Linked DNA regions of Mus musculus: region 2 is reported to be linked to region 1. The links are microRNA targets in miRTarBase. Many come from high-throughput screens and were not tested one by one. Region 1 holds a microRNA gene; the other region holds the end of a gene's coding sequence.

Region 1 (7,072 bases):
GTCCAGGGAAGATCTCTAAGAAGTAGAACCAGATGTCAGGCTGGTGAATGGGGAGAGGTGGCTCACAGTGACATTTAGTGACATGAGAATGCTGATGTCCTTTCCCTGCTCCAGTGTCCCTTGGGAAGGAGAGAACCCAGCAGCATTCATTACCACCCGATGCTTGCTAATGGTGTGACCTTGAATGAGTCAGCCTGTCACCTGTCTGTGCCTCCGTTTGTCTGTCTGAGAGTGTTAATGGCTGCTTATAAGGTATGTATTCACGCTGAATGTGTGTTCAGTATTTTGAGAGTGCCTGGTTTCCCCCAGAAAGTTGGAAAACCATTGGCTTTTATAATGATAGTTGTTGCATGAATGTCCTTACTCTGTGGATCTCTTCCCACCCTCTAGAACACAGGTTCCTTGAGCTCAGAAACCCCATCTAATGCTCGTAGGTGCACACAGGACGAATGATGCTGAGTGAATGGCAGTTGGACATGTTTTCTTTGTTGAACCCTCTTTGAGGCCTCTCAGAAGCCAGAGAGAATAGAGGACGGTGCAGACACCTTGTACCCTGATGCTGCTGGTTTGTCTGTGCGGTCTCTCAGGATACTGCCTTGGAAAGGGAGTTATCCTCTTTTAGGTCAGCCTTCATTGGTGGGCAGGATGGACCCTACTACACAGAGAGTCATGGTTTCTTCTATGTCAAACCTACCTCAGGACTTCTCTAGGAGAAACACTTTGGGATTCAGACTTGGTGTCCGTGTGCTTCTGGGTGAGTGACCAGTTTCTGGCCAAAGCCTGGATGTCTGTACAAGTCTCTGGCCACCTGTAGGCAGGAGAGAACTCTGCAAGTCAGTCCATTGCTAGTCTGCTTTGCAGTTGGACCTGGGGGCTCATCGGAGGTAATGCCAGCCTCCCTAGAGGGTGGGAGTCAGGGAGCCAGAGCCGAGGGAGGCAGGGCTGCCTGGGGAAGAGGCGCCCTGCTCAACTCTCGGCCTGTGCTGACGTTTGATTCTTGAGCAGAGGTTGCCCTTGGTGAATTCGCTTTATTGATGTTGAATCACACAAAGGCAACTTTTGTTTGAGTATCAAAGCCTGCTTGGGGTGGCATTGGGGACACGTTACAAAGTTCTGGGGTCTCTGCAAATGTCATGTGCTAGAATGGAAGGTGTGGATATGGGGATGGTCAGGAAGGGGTGTGGCTCAGAACGCCACGTGACCAGACATGTAGTCCCAGGAACCAATGGAGAGATGCCAATATCTACTCCCTGACTCTTCTCAGCCTGAATCCTCTTTGTCACACCAGCACCTAGCCCCCCTAGTTGCAGACACACTCGCTGTTCTATCTCTACTCTGAAGATACCTTGACAAAATGAACTCTGTCCTTTGACAGTGTCAAGGACAATGGCAGCCTTCCCTCCCCACCCCCTTCCTCTCCTCAACTCACTGGGTCAGGAGTGCTCACATACCATCTGTTTTTCCCCCCTCCCACCCCACCCCCTCAACACACCTCTGTCTGTTTCTCTTTCGTCCTCATCGCTCACCAAACCTTGTTCTCCATTTTTGGATGGGTTAGGAAATGAATAGAGGCGACCAGCATTTCATCCCGTTTACATTAAATAATAGTGATAAAATAATCACAAAATAACACCACAAACTACCAGAATAGCTTGGAGGAAAATGTGTTCAATTGACTACAAATTGGCAGAAGAATCCAATTTTCTTGACAACATTTGAGCTGCGACATTTGACCTGGGGAAACAGTACTCTGTAGACATGGCAGCCGCAAGGGGCAGCTTCAGTAGTGGCGGATGCTATGAGCAGTAATATTTGTGGTAGATGAACGCACATTGAGGAATCAAATCTTCGTTCAGATTTTTAAATGGGAAAGAATTGATCCTAATGAAAATGATTTGAGGAAATAACAAGGGAAATAAAAGAAATGAAAATGGCCCAACAGCACAGTCAAGGAAGCTAAACAGGGAATTGGATTAGTTTAATGGAATTTACTTTAAAAAAAAAAAAAGGAAAGAAATGCATGTTTTTTTATGAAAATCAATGTGGGTGTGGTGTTTGAGATGGGGAAATCTATGGATATAGACTAGAGCTAGTGGGGTGATAAGAAGGACTGGTCACCATGTGGGTTTTTTTTTTTAATGTGGCTAAACTTTATTTTCCCATCCCAAACCTTTACAGAGAGCTTCATGGAGTATTCAGAAGCTGGCGGGTGTCACCTGGAGGATGTGACTGGGTACCAGTGCCAGAGCACGTGCCCACTGAGCAGTCTTCTTCACTTTCCTCGATCCTCATGAAACATTCCGGGTAAGACACTGGTTCTGGGGAGTCTGCTCTTGCCGAGCAGTTGGTACCTGGAACATTCTAGGGCCTGCCCTTCCTTGGGTTTCCATGTTGCCAGCTCCCAGGGCTAGGCTTAAAGACGTACCCATTGTTGGTGCTGAAGGGCTAGGCCCGTACGGGAGGTCATTTTAGAGTGGATGTATCCAGGGTCTAATATACTATCTGGGGTGTGATGAGCACCAGGTTTCATGGTGGCTCTCTTTCCAAAAGGATCTTTACCTCAAAGGACTCCAGAGGCTACATCATTGTCTTGGAACTGGTCAGTGGCTGGAGCTCTCTCCAGGACAAGTGCTTGGAGGAAGAACCTGGACAAGCTTCCCTCCCCATACTGTTGACTGGATCTTGTAGCTACCGTTAGCCACCATCATCGCCATTGTGTGCCTCTTAGGAGCATTTCCAGGAGGTGATGCCAGCTGGGGAAAGAGCCTCTGTCCCACAGGTCAGTTTCCAGAACACCTACATGAAGCTGCCCGTGGCGTCTTTTCCCCGTATGACACACTGCATGTGACCAGTCTCTTGCTGCCCTGCAGCAAGGCTAGAAGCCTGTGTGAACTCTTGCCAAAATCAGAGAAGGGATTCTGATGTTGGTCACACTCCAAGAGTTTTAAAATGAGTGGCGAACACAGAATCCATACTCTGCTTATGGCCTAAGTCAATGGATCCTGACCCTTACTGGAGAGCCCTCCCTGGCGTGCTCGTGCGGGGCAGCCATACACACTGGCACAAGGGGACCCTGCGGGATCTCCTTCCGCTGTTCTTTCTCTCCTCCCTCCATGTTTATCTTTGAAGCATTACTTGCTTGGTTTATAGGACTGGATGGTCAAGCAGTTCTTGCTATGACATCACCGTGGGGGGAGGGGGCAGGTGACAGGGCGGGGATGCCAGGGTCGTGGGGCTGCAGTGGTTGGGTGGGCCCAAGGAGGAGCATCTCTGGATGATGCAGTCATTGCCTCCTCGCTTCTGGAAGGCATCGTCTCTGGGAGGGTGGTGTGGTATATGCGCAGGGTCTCAGCATCTCCCTATCTCCAGCTTACAAAGGAGAGATAGAGTAAGCAGAGTTCTGCACCCACTTCTGCCCCGAGTCAGCTCCTCGCTACCTGGGTCTCAAGGTTGTCTGGGAAGGCTTTAGATATTCTTGGAAGGTGAAAGGGTGGTAGATTGCACTGGGGAGGTGATGGAATAATTGCTTTCACGTGGTGGAGGGTGGCTCCTCACTGAATGGGGAGTTATAATCTCTGAGGGGCTCCAGGATGGTTCTTCTGGAAACTCAGCCATCGGCCTCGTTCTGAGCATCCGAGCCTCTCCGTGGTACTCGGAGAGAGGTTACCCGAGCAACTTTGCATCTGGAGGACGAATGTTGCTCGGTGAACCCCTTTTCGGTATCAAATCCCTCCAGGGAGGCCACCTCAGGGAAGACCATGGACTCATCTCGCTCTGGGGTATGGGACGGATGGTCGACCAGCTGGAAAGTAATTGTTTCTAATGTACTTCACCTGGTCCACTAGCCGTCGGTGCCCGCTGCAGCCTGCGCCCAGGATGTCACAGCCTCAGCTCAACACCTCTGCTGGTACTTGAAGGGAGATCGACCGTGTTATATTCGCTTGGCTGACTTCGAATAATACATGGTTGATCTTTTCTCAGTATCAACGCTCAGCTTGGAGAAGCTCTTGGAGTTGCAGCCCCTGTGGGGGTGGGGACAGCATGGTGCTTCTAGGTTGCTGCCTCCGCGGGGAACTGGGCTGGGTGGAACAGGCTGTGTGCTGCCTGTGTCAACCCTACTCACCATTTATATGCAATCCCCCCCTTCCCCCCAGGACAGCTTCAGGTGGTGATTCCAGCTCCAGGGTTGCTGCGGTCAACACTGGGTACTTGAGGAGAGGTTGTCTGTGATGAGTTCGCTTTATTAATGACGAATATAACACAGATGGCCTGTTTTCAATACCACCTGCCACTCCGGTCACTCGGCAGTACATACCAGGTGTCACACCACTGCCCGGTAGGTAAATGCATGGACTCTGTATGACGCTTGTCACCCCCTCTTCACTGAACCTCAGCTCTGAGGAGCCTCCTGGGATCGCACCAACCTTGTAGGCTGGGCCACGAAGCATTGGCCAGATGTGCAATGGATGGCTGTCCACTTTCCATGCCTCTTTCCCGCCACAACAATGGGTGTTTGTCCCTGTCTAAGGCTTCCACCGAGGGCTGCATGCTCAAATGCCCTGTACCCTGGGTGCTTCTCAATACCATGAGGGCTTGGAGGGGCTAGCATGATACTTAGGGAAGAGCCAGGCCAGTTGGTTACACGTGCAGTTCCTAGTATCTGAGGTGAGATTGCCCGTGACGGGTTTCCATTCTTAATGCTGGTACAGTGCATGGTCACCTCTCTTTATCATTGGCTCTTACTGTGTGAGCATGGGTGTCAGGGGAGGGACACACTTTGCTGACCCACTGGACACCACTGATGGTCAGGCATGTAGCTGACTCATCCTGACCCAGAGCCTCACATCTCCTGAGGTGGGGGTTGGGAAGTCCAGAAGGGCATCTTAGAGGAAGAAGCATCCTAAGTAGAGTCCGTGCTGGTGGTACCTGAGCTAGCTTGTCTCTGAGACGTTTGTTTTCTATCTGATGACTATCCCACAGCCTACTTCTCTGCACCATGTCCTACCCTAGACCATTTCTACTTTGAGGCATTGATGCCAAGAACTGAAGCCTTTGTGTTGGTTGACTCTCTAGTCTGTATGTGAGACCATCCCTTGGCCTGTCTTGTCCTCAGTGCCACCCTGTTGGAAATAGCACAGAATGTCCTCCTGAGTCTACAAGGCAGTGATACCCAAGCTCTGTCCCTGCTTCACGAGCACAGGGGGCCCAGTAGGGATTAGCCTGCACTTCTTTTTTTTTTTTTTTTTTTTTATTTTTTTTTTTTTTTTCATTTTTTTTTTATTAGGTATTTAGCTCATTTACATTTCCAATGCTATACCAAAAGTCCCCCTTACCCACCCACCCCCACTCCCCTACCCACCCACTCCCCCCCTTTGGCCCTGGCGTTCCCCTGTACCGGGGCACACAAAGTCTGCGTGTCCAATGTAGCCTGCACTTCTTCATGTTTCCTCCAACTTAACACTCTGGCTCTGTCAGACTCCTGTGAGCTTACTGTAGAGGCTTGACCTAGAGTCTCAAGGACCCCAGAAAGTACCTGATCACACCCAGTAGGAGCCTTTGAAAGACAGGCTATAGATTTTTGGTATTTAGTAAGGCTCCCCAGGGTGGCAAAGAGCTCTTTCTGATTGGGCTTGCTCCCCATTGGAGCAAGTAGCACCCTCACCCTGGCAACTCCACCCTGCATGCTTTTTCTCCTCTTCTGGGCCTCCTCAGCAGCAAAATGCTCTTCCAACAGAGATAGTGGCTGCGCACCCTGGCTTGTACCTAGCACATGGTCTCCTTTAGATTTCTTCTCTTGTTCAGGATGGTCTGCCCAGGCGCCCTCTCTCTGGGAGTTGGTCCTGGTTACTGTCTCCCACAGTCCATCCCCCTTCCTTGGTCCTCAAGCTTGTAGGCCCCCTCCACAGGAGTTCAAGACTCGGAGGGGATCGTGTTCCCTGCTCTGCAGTGACAGTGCAGGCAGCCTGACACTCTTATCCAGCTCCTTCCTTTGTGATATGACATCAGACTGCTTGTCAGCTATGGCTCCCCAGGTGCCTGCTTTCCCAAACTGCCTAGTACCTTGGTTCCCAGCCTCTCCCTGACCCCAACCAAAACAAAACAAAACAAAACAAAACAAAAAAAAAAAAAAAAGAAGAAGAGAAAAGAAAAGAAAAGAAAAGAAAAGAAAAGAAAAGAAAAGAAAAGAAAAGAAAAGAAAAGAAAAGAAAAAAGCTTTAAGATTTCCCAAGGCAGACGAGGACCTTTCCTTTGCGTCTTTTCTCTTTCCTCTGTTTTACTCCCTACCCCTTCCCTCCCTCCCATCTTACTTCCCTGACTTATCTTCTGCTGTATTCTAAGCCTTAGGATCCAGGCCAGGTCTATAGTGACAGAATAATGGAGTGTGCTGATTGACTAATAGAGTCCCCAAAGGCAGAAACCATATTAGGTTAATCCCCAGGAAGGTGGTGAGCATGAAGCAGGAATTCCATAAGATGTGGTGGCTGATTCCATAAATATAGAAGCTGGGTTCACTTAGTCTTTGCATTTGTTAGAGGCCTCCCACCCCAGCTAGTCACCGATTTTTGAGACGTACAGCGATAGGGGACAGACAGGTCAGCTATGTCTGCGGGCTTTTCTTTACTTTTGTAGCTGGGGGTCTCATGCTAGGCTTCAAATTCATCTGAGCACAACCCCCACCCTCCACTCCGTGAACGTCTCCGTGGCAGCAAGCCAGAGGCCCCTCAGAGGCCCTCGTGCAGCAGGCCTGAGCTGCTGTCAGGGCTAATATTTTATGCATGGACCTAAGCAAATGGGAACATTTGGAGATGGAAATTGCTGTTAATGACACATCTTTGGAATATATTAAACGCGTGCAAGAAGGCTGCTGATCTCTCCATTTAATTGCTCCAGTGTAAGCGCAGTCACACCACGGCATCCACAGATAGGCTACCCCTAGTCTCTGCATCACCGATGGGGAAAGCCCCAGGTACCTCAGCCACCAAGGGAGTATTATGTACAAGATGGAATGTCAGCTGGGGTGCCAAGCAACCACCGACACGCACACTCCAAATTCATTGGAGACCCTAAGAGG
Region 2 (7,072 bases), not on the chromosome of region 1:
CCGAAGAACCAGTCTCTCAGAATTTATCACCCAACACTACTTCCTCAGTGGAAGACCAGGGTGAGGAGGGAGCACCTGAGGCCCAGGAACCATCGGCTACTCAGAGTTCTCTGATAGAGGTAGAACTTGAAGACGCGCCATTTCCACAGAATGCAGGACAGAAGAGCCAGTCAGAGGAACAGTCTGAAGCGTCCTCTGAGCACCTGGAACAGTTTACACAGTCAGCAGAGAAAGCTGTGGATAGCAGCTCAGAGGAGATTGAAGTGGAAGTTCCTGTAGTAGACAGGCGCAATCTGAGAAGAAAGGCCAAAGGGCATAAGGGCCCTGGCAAGAAGAAAGCCAAGCTGACCTGAATGAAGGAGCAATGCAGTTCACACATCCTCCTTGTTGTTATTGTTGTTGTTTTAAACTGCAGTAATTAATAAACAGCATGGGGCACAGGACAGATTCTAAACCTTCCACTGGAACTTATTTACACATGCAGGTTTTCTCTTTCCTTTAGAACAAGGATTCGCTGTTCTTTTTCATTTTTCAGGCTATTTTCTCTAAGTAACTTTCGTTTATGAACCATGTGTCAATTTTGGAATTCCAGGTCATATTCTTCTTCAGCAGGTGGAGCATCTAATCATTAATATTTTAAAAATACAACTTAAAAAGAACTATTAGACTTTGATCATAGGAATCTTTTATACTAAGGGTTTTAATGGTAAAATTTGGTAAGGATTCTCAAAGTTTTATCTTAGTATCAAAACAATCTCCATCTTTTAGGTGTAAGCATACCTAAACAAAAGGAGTCAGTTAATTAAATATAGTATCAAGTTAGAGAACAAAAAATAGAAATTTATGATCAGTGGTTTATGAAGATGGTTTTTGTTTTTATTTCTTAATGTTAGTTGTAGATGGAGTTCAAGTCTGTGAGAAGTACTTTAGGCTGCATATCTGGTGTTAGTACTGTTAAAGATATAACTGTGGTGTGTGGGTACATAATTTAAATTTTAAATTTAATACTTCCACATGAAGTATTAGTTTGCTATAATTTTTTTCTCTATATATTTTCAGATGCTGAAAACCTTGAGTACACTTTTATCTTTTAAACACCTCAAGTAATTGAAGTTAATATATAGTTGAATTTGGACTGTCGTCCTGATCACAGATAGTGCAGAAGTGTAGGCCCCTCCCCAAGCCTCCTTAATTCTTCACTGCTGTCTCACTGTGACTCTTCTATCAACAGACCTCCACCCAGCTTGCCTGTTATGCCCTGTATCCATATTTGGATAGGTCTAGAACTCAATCCAAACACCTTTAGTCCTAGATGGAAGGAATAAAGCTGCCCAGTGAGATGTACAAATGCCTAGATTCTGACTCTGCGGTCCCTTTGGGTCTTGTATACTTTAAGACAGGGTTTCTCTGTGTAGCATTGACTATCCTGTAAACCAGGCAGACCTCCAGCTCAGATCTGCCTCTTCCTGCTGAGTGTTGAGATTAAAGACATGCAGCACTACCACCTGGCTATTTGATATTTTAGAAATATTTAAAAAAAATGACAATTGGTTTTTAAATGGTTATTAGAATTCATAGAAAATTGGTCAGTGGCACTTGGGGAATACCACATACTTTGATTTGTATTTCAGTTAGAGACTATTTTGAGACCAATTAGAATTGTTTTTGAAACAGCTTGAACCTTGTGAGAGAAATGTTGAGAAATTGAGTCATGAAGTACTTGTGAGTTTATGCTCAGTCATTTCAGTCTTTGGTCAGCTGATTGGTGATTTCATGTCTTACATTTTAATTTAGGGATGTTGGTATTTTAGAAAAGTCTGATTAATTAGTTAAGACCTTAAAGCAGCAAACCAAATAGCAAACCCTTGAAGTTAGAACACTTGCACTTACCTGTTGTTTTAATTTTGGCTAGATGTTAGATAATTTCATTCTAAGTGAAAATTATACTTTGACCATTTTTTTTTTTTTTTTTGGTAAAAGCTGTTATAAAATAGATTTGACTAATTAGTAAATTTGCCAAATGCTGATGCTGTTTTACACGTTTAGAGAAATTTGTTAATATCTCAACCAGGGATAGCATTTGAAAGGCATGTTAAGATTCAGAAATTGATTTTTAACACACATTTAAAGTTTTCTGGATATGTTGTTTTGGTATTTTGTTTTGGCTCCTGTTCCCCTTCCATTACTTTTTTAAATGAGTGTTTTAGTAGATTGCACTCACTGGCAGCTCAATGTATGAATAGTCTCTAGAGTTAAAGAAAAATTTTCACATACCACACTGGGTACTAGCAGTATAAACTTATATACTTCCTAAACTTGTTTGATAAAGATGGGATTCAAACATTTTGCTCTGCATACAAGAAAACTTGTTACCTTGTTGTCTGTGACAGAAGTTAAAGTTTGTATAGATCATAGAGGAAAAGTTAGGTCACAGGAAAAAATCTTTCATATTCAGTAACATGTTTATATAAAATTTGTAATAATTTATGTTCAGTAGGGAATCTAAACAAATGTAGCAAGGCATGAGGACTGCAGAGATTTCAAGCAGCTGTTTGAGTGCTCTGTCCCGTTGTGTAGTCTCCTGTGAACTGGTACTTTCTGTTTCGGAGTCATGAATGTGGAGAAGGAAGCTCCCTTCTGGTGTATATACATATATATTTCCTTATGTAACATAGCAGAAGTGTACTACCAGAAGTTTAGTTCTACTTTCAAACTTAAACTGTTAGACCACACAAAAATTTATTTAAGAATTTTATTGTAAAGCTCCTTTAAAACTTTTAAAGAGATTCTATTATGATTTTTTAAAATAAAATCAAATGGCATGACTTAGAATGTCAGTCTTCTCTGTGTGTTCACATTCTTCCACTTTGTGTCTACTTTCCTTTTACCGTTGATTTGCAGAGGCTAAGGAGGACTTCTAGTCACTAATGGTCTACTTTGAACAGGTGACCAGTGTAGTGTTACCTAGTGGTTTGTGACTTTAGTAGACCTTTAAGCCCTTCTACCAACTAAACATCTCTGAAGTTGCTTCTCCTTTGGAATTACCTAAGCTGTGGTCACACCAGCAAACTGAAACAGATTTTGATGTAAATAAGGAATTTGTACTAATACTACTCATGTAACTATTTGAAGAGAGCAGCTTTTGCTTTGATGTCCATTTGCAATCTGGTGGTTCTGGGCGTGGTCTGTTACAGAAGTCATGCTTGTTTTAATACTTCCTCCCATGACTTTTTAGTATACGACAGTTTGCTAGTTTCAATCCTAAAAAAAAAAATAAGCAAATGTACTTCAGCAATAGCCACTGATCACCTGGAGTCAGGCTTCCTTTCACCGTAACTCAGGCAGATAAATACACATTGCCCGTTCTGATTGGTAGACAATGTTAAAATCTAATTATAAGAAAGTGAAGTCACTCTGCCTTTCCTGGTCAGTCCTTTCCAAGGAACTAGGCCCGCCTTTTCCTTTAATATCTTTGTATGTTCTAAAAACTTTAAAAAAAATATTCAGAATACCAAGTCTTATGGAGAACTTATGGTTTGTTTCTTTGCTAGGGTTTTTTTTTCCCCCTTAATGTTTAAAATAGTAATTAAACTTGTGTTTTGTGATTGTTTTCTAGTCTTGTGTTTTAAATTTCCTTTCCTCTGAGTTGCATTCATGAAGATGTGCTTAGATATTAGACATTGAATGATTCTGTTAAAGGCACAGCTAATCACACTGCCTGTATTATGAAAGTAGATTTAAAAAATAAACAATTTAAAGCAATATGGTGATTACAGATTAATATACAGACACTCTTAAGAACGTGGATTTAAGTTATAACCCCAAATCATGACCTTTCAATCTAATTAATTGCCACATCTCAAGTCACTGGTACATGGTGGAGAATTATCTAACCCAATTGTTCACATTGTTGTAGCAGTAGTGAGCGAGCTCCCTATTTTTAGAATATAGGAAATGGAGGAAGTACACTGGAGGTCACTGCAGTACTATATAAGGTATTAGTTATGAGTGAAAGCACTGAATTGTGCACTCTTTTCATCTAATTTACCTTCTCTATGACTTTTAATCTACTTGTTTATGAATTTAAACACTACCATGTGTTTAAAATGTTCCACATTTTAGGATTAATGGCAACACAATGGAAAATACTTGACCTTTACAGGAACTTTCAACTATTCTGATGGCTTTTCAATTGTGACAGACTTGTATTGCTGCATACATAGTTTTTAGTATGCTTCTGTGTCCTTGGCTACTCAGTCACTAAATTTTATTAACATGTAAACCGTTATGCCCCAAACTAAAGACCAACTGTCAAACTGGGCAGTTTTATTTTCCTTTACAACTTAGTAAATGCTTGATGACTGCACATGAGGTAAGGCTGCTCGGTGGTTCAGAAAGACCCCAGGGACGGTGTTTTCCTGACAGGGTGTGGTCTTCAGCAGTGAGTGGAATGACGTGTATGAGTGACGTCACTGTCAGACCAGCAAGACCGCATTTATGCACCCATCGTTCTCAGGATTGTTGGTAACTTGGGCGTACTTTCCTAAGGAAAGCCAAATCAAAGGAAGAAAAGGAGTTAGCAAAAATCAGCTTAAAGAAGAAAACTTTAAATCTCACATTTCTAAATACCCTATTCATATAAGAAATGAGCAGAAGATCAGCTAATTCAAGAATAAGTTACGTTCACAAATGGCAGCCAGCTCTATTTTATCAATACATTATGTTACTGTTAACTTTTACAGTGACTTTCTTTTCCTAAATGATTTTCAAATCAGTGTAACACCTATTTTAAAACATATCTTCATTTTCAAACATATGAGCAATAAAAGTAGGAACTAAATCAGTGAAAGTTTCGTTCCTCATATCTCCAGCCCAACTGCTGAAAATTATTAGAAAATTGTTAGATACTTTTTAAAAAAATTTTATTTATTATTATATGTAAGTACACTGTAGCCGTCTTCAGACAGACCAGAAGAGGGTGTCATATCTTACTACGAATGGTTGTGAGCCACCATGTGGTTGTGGGATTTGAACTCAGGACCTTTGGAAGAGCAGTCAGTGCTCTTAACCACTGAGCCATCTCACCAGCACCTGTTATATCTTTTAACACTCAGAAAAGGACTACAGAAAAGCAACACCAGACTTATTTTTACTTACCCCAAATCACCTTGCCTCCTTGTGTCACAAGGCCCAGCTCGCTCACATTCACTTCAATAACTGTACCTTTGGTGATCACACCCAGGGTTGTATATAATGGGGACGATGGATTCTTTTTCACACCGAGAATAGGCAGGCAAAAGGTAGCTTTCAGCTCAGGGTGTGTGACATGGGCTTTTTTGAAACGTAGACCCTAAAAATCAAACATAAAAATGCGTCCAAATGGTGAGTAGAGTCTTTAGAATCCTCATCTTTTCTAATTATCTCTACAGGGGATGAATACTGTCTTAAAACGTCAGAGGAAATACATTTCTACAGATTAAAAATCGCATAGTGGACAGGAAGAAGCATACGCAATCCAAAATGGGTTATCCCATGTACGACCATTATGTCAACGCTTGTATTTTTCTTTGCTCATCATACTTATTGAAGGAAATATGCCAAACACGGCCATAGCTCACTAGTGGCTCGTTTATACATGAAAACCGTATAAAAGCCCTCTATTTTCACAGTCAATGATGAAGCAAGGTCTGCATACAGCCTTGAGCTTTGTTTCCAGATCAAATAATACATGGTAAATAGAATGAAACCTACAAGTTCCAATTTCAGGAGTTGAAATACCAGCCACCTTGAAAGATGGGAAAGAAAAAGGAATGGTAGACTCTTAGCCTTCTTTATGTAGGAAGTAACATGATTCAAAGACTGGAGAAGAGAGAGGACCTTGTTACACAGATGTCACCCAGTCACCTGAATGGGGCCCTGTGAGCACAGTACTTTAAATTTCAGAACCTTTTAGCCTTCATTTTACTTATGTAGGAATGGAAGGAAAATTGTGTTAGATTCCTTGTTTTGGAGTATTTGTGAGAACCTTTCTTCCCTGGAAAGAAAAAAGATACTAAAATATATTTCAAAGATTATGAATACAAAATCAAGGGAATCAATAATATATAGTCCAAGAGTATTCTTGGCTTTGCAGCCAGACAGTCTCTGGCCAGTAACTGAATTGGAGGAGGAAAAAATTGCACTCTTCAAGTGAGCATGGCTGTTAGCAGTGACTACAGCATTTGAATGCTAGGATCAACAGCATTCCTGTTCAAAAAGGATTCTGAGAAAACATAGTAAGTGTCATGCTTTTCAAAGCAGGAGAAACTCAGGGGTGTGGGAGAGCCTAGGTTTGGCAGGTAATCACTGCTCTCAATAGGAATCTAGCTACCTTACATACTGCACCTTATAAAGACAAAATAATTACATATAGATGTTTTCAAACGCAGTAAAAAAGACATCCACCTCACTAAATCTTAGCTGAACAGTCCAATGCTCTTTGGTCTTCCGGCTAAGACCAAATGTAAGCAATGTTCCCCTGTCTAATGAGTTGTCACAAAGGCCCGTGTTTGAGGCCTAGCTCTTCAGGCATATAGCAGCTTACTTACTGAATAAGGAATATATAACTATAAAATAAAAGAGTCTAATGCATCATGTTTAAATACAGTATTCACTGGCAAATGTTATACAAAATCATTTCAAATCTATTATGAATCTGATATTAAGATTCAGCTGAGATTCATGGAAAAATAGCACAAAATATTGTTCAAGCTGTTTTTCACACCAATTTTTATAATTTCAGGGAACTGTAATATACTTTATCCAGCTTTACAAGGGGCTAACATTAGGTCATTGCACTCCTATAGAGACTTACCATGGGCCTAATGAACCTTTCATATTTCGGTGGTTTTCTTGTAAAGCCATCGCCAACAAAACAGACTTTAGTAACCATTCTCTTCCATGCCTTCTTTTTCCTTTTTCCTGTCCGAATAACTTTCAATACTTCTGTTTCTCCTTGGGCACGAACTTTGGGTAGAGGGACCTCCCATTTTCCCTAAAAGTGTAGGTTGATAATGTTAAAAAAAAAAAAAAA

What was found. Region 1 holds the annotated microRNA mmu-miR-409-3p (GAAUGUUGCUCGGUGAACCCCU, at 3,693-3,714, shown strand). A microRNA usually pairs through its seed, bases 2 to 8, with sites in the 3' UTR of a target mRNA and lowers its output. Matches are read on the target gene's strand: a 7mer-m8 pairs with bases 2 to 8, a 7mer-A1 pairs with bases 2 to 7 and ends in A, and an 8mer does both.
Region 2: miRTarBase lists Nsa2 as a target of mmu-miR-409-3p. Seed matches in the 3' UTR shown: 7mer-A1 at 3,569-3,575.

Annotation. Positions count from the first base shown.
Region 1 is chr12:109,739,512-109,746,583 of GRCm38, forward strand. It overlaps Mir409 (microRNA 409), which reads left to right and starts at 3,647; the gene lies at 3,647-3,725. It overlaps Mirg (miRNA containing gene), which reads left to right. Exons shown (of 8, transcript NR_028265.1): 3 at 2,179-2,304; 4 at 2,551-2,779; 5 at 3,846-3,907; 6 at 4,155-4,336. Mir541 (microRNA 541) reads left to right here and starts at 2,898; the gene lies at 2,898-2,987. Mir412 (microRNA 412) reads left to right here and starts at 3,778; the gene lies at 3,778-3,857. It also overlaps Mir369, Mir410 and Mir377.
Region 2 is chr13:97,126,686-97,133,757 of GRCm38, forward strand. It overlaps Nsa2 (NSA2 ribosome biogenesis homolog), which reads right to left. Exons shown (of 6, transcript NM_021552.5): 4 at 6,854-7,033; 5 at 5,158-5,350; 6 at 2,742-4,543. The coding sequence ends at 4,476. It overlaps Fam169a (family with sequence similarity 169, member A), which reads left to right. Exons shown (of 13, transcript NM_001100458.1): 13 at 1-2,837. The coding sequence ends at 353. Among named protein-coding and RNA genes, the nearest start is that of Nsa2, 7.7 kb to the right of the region's middle.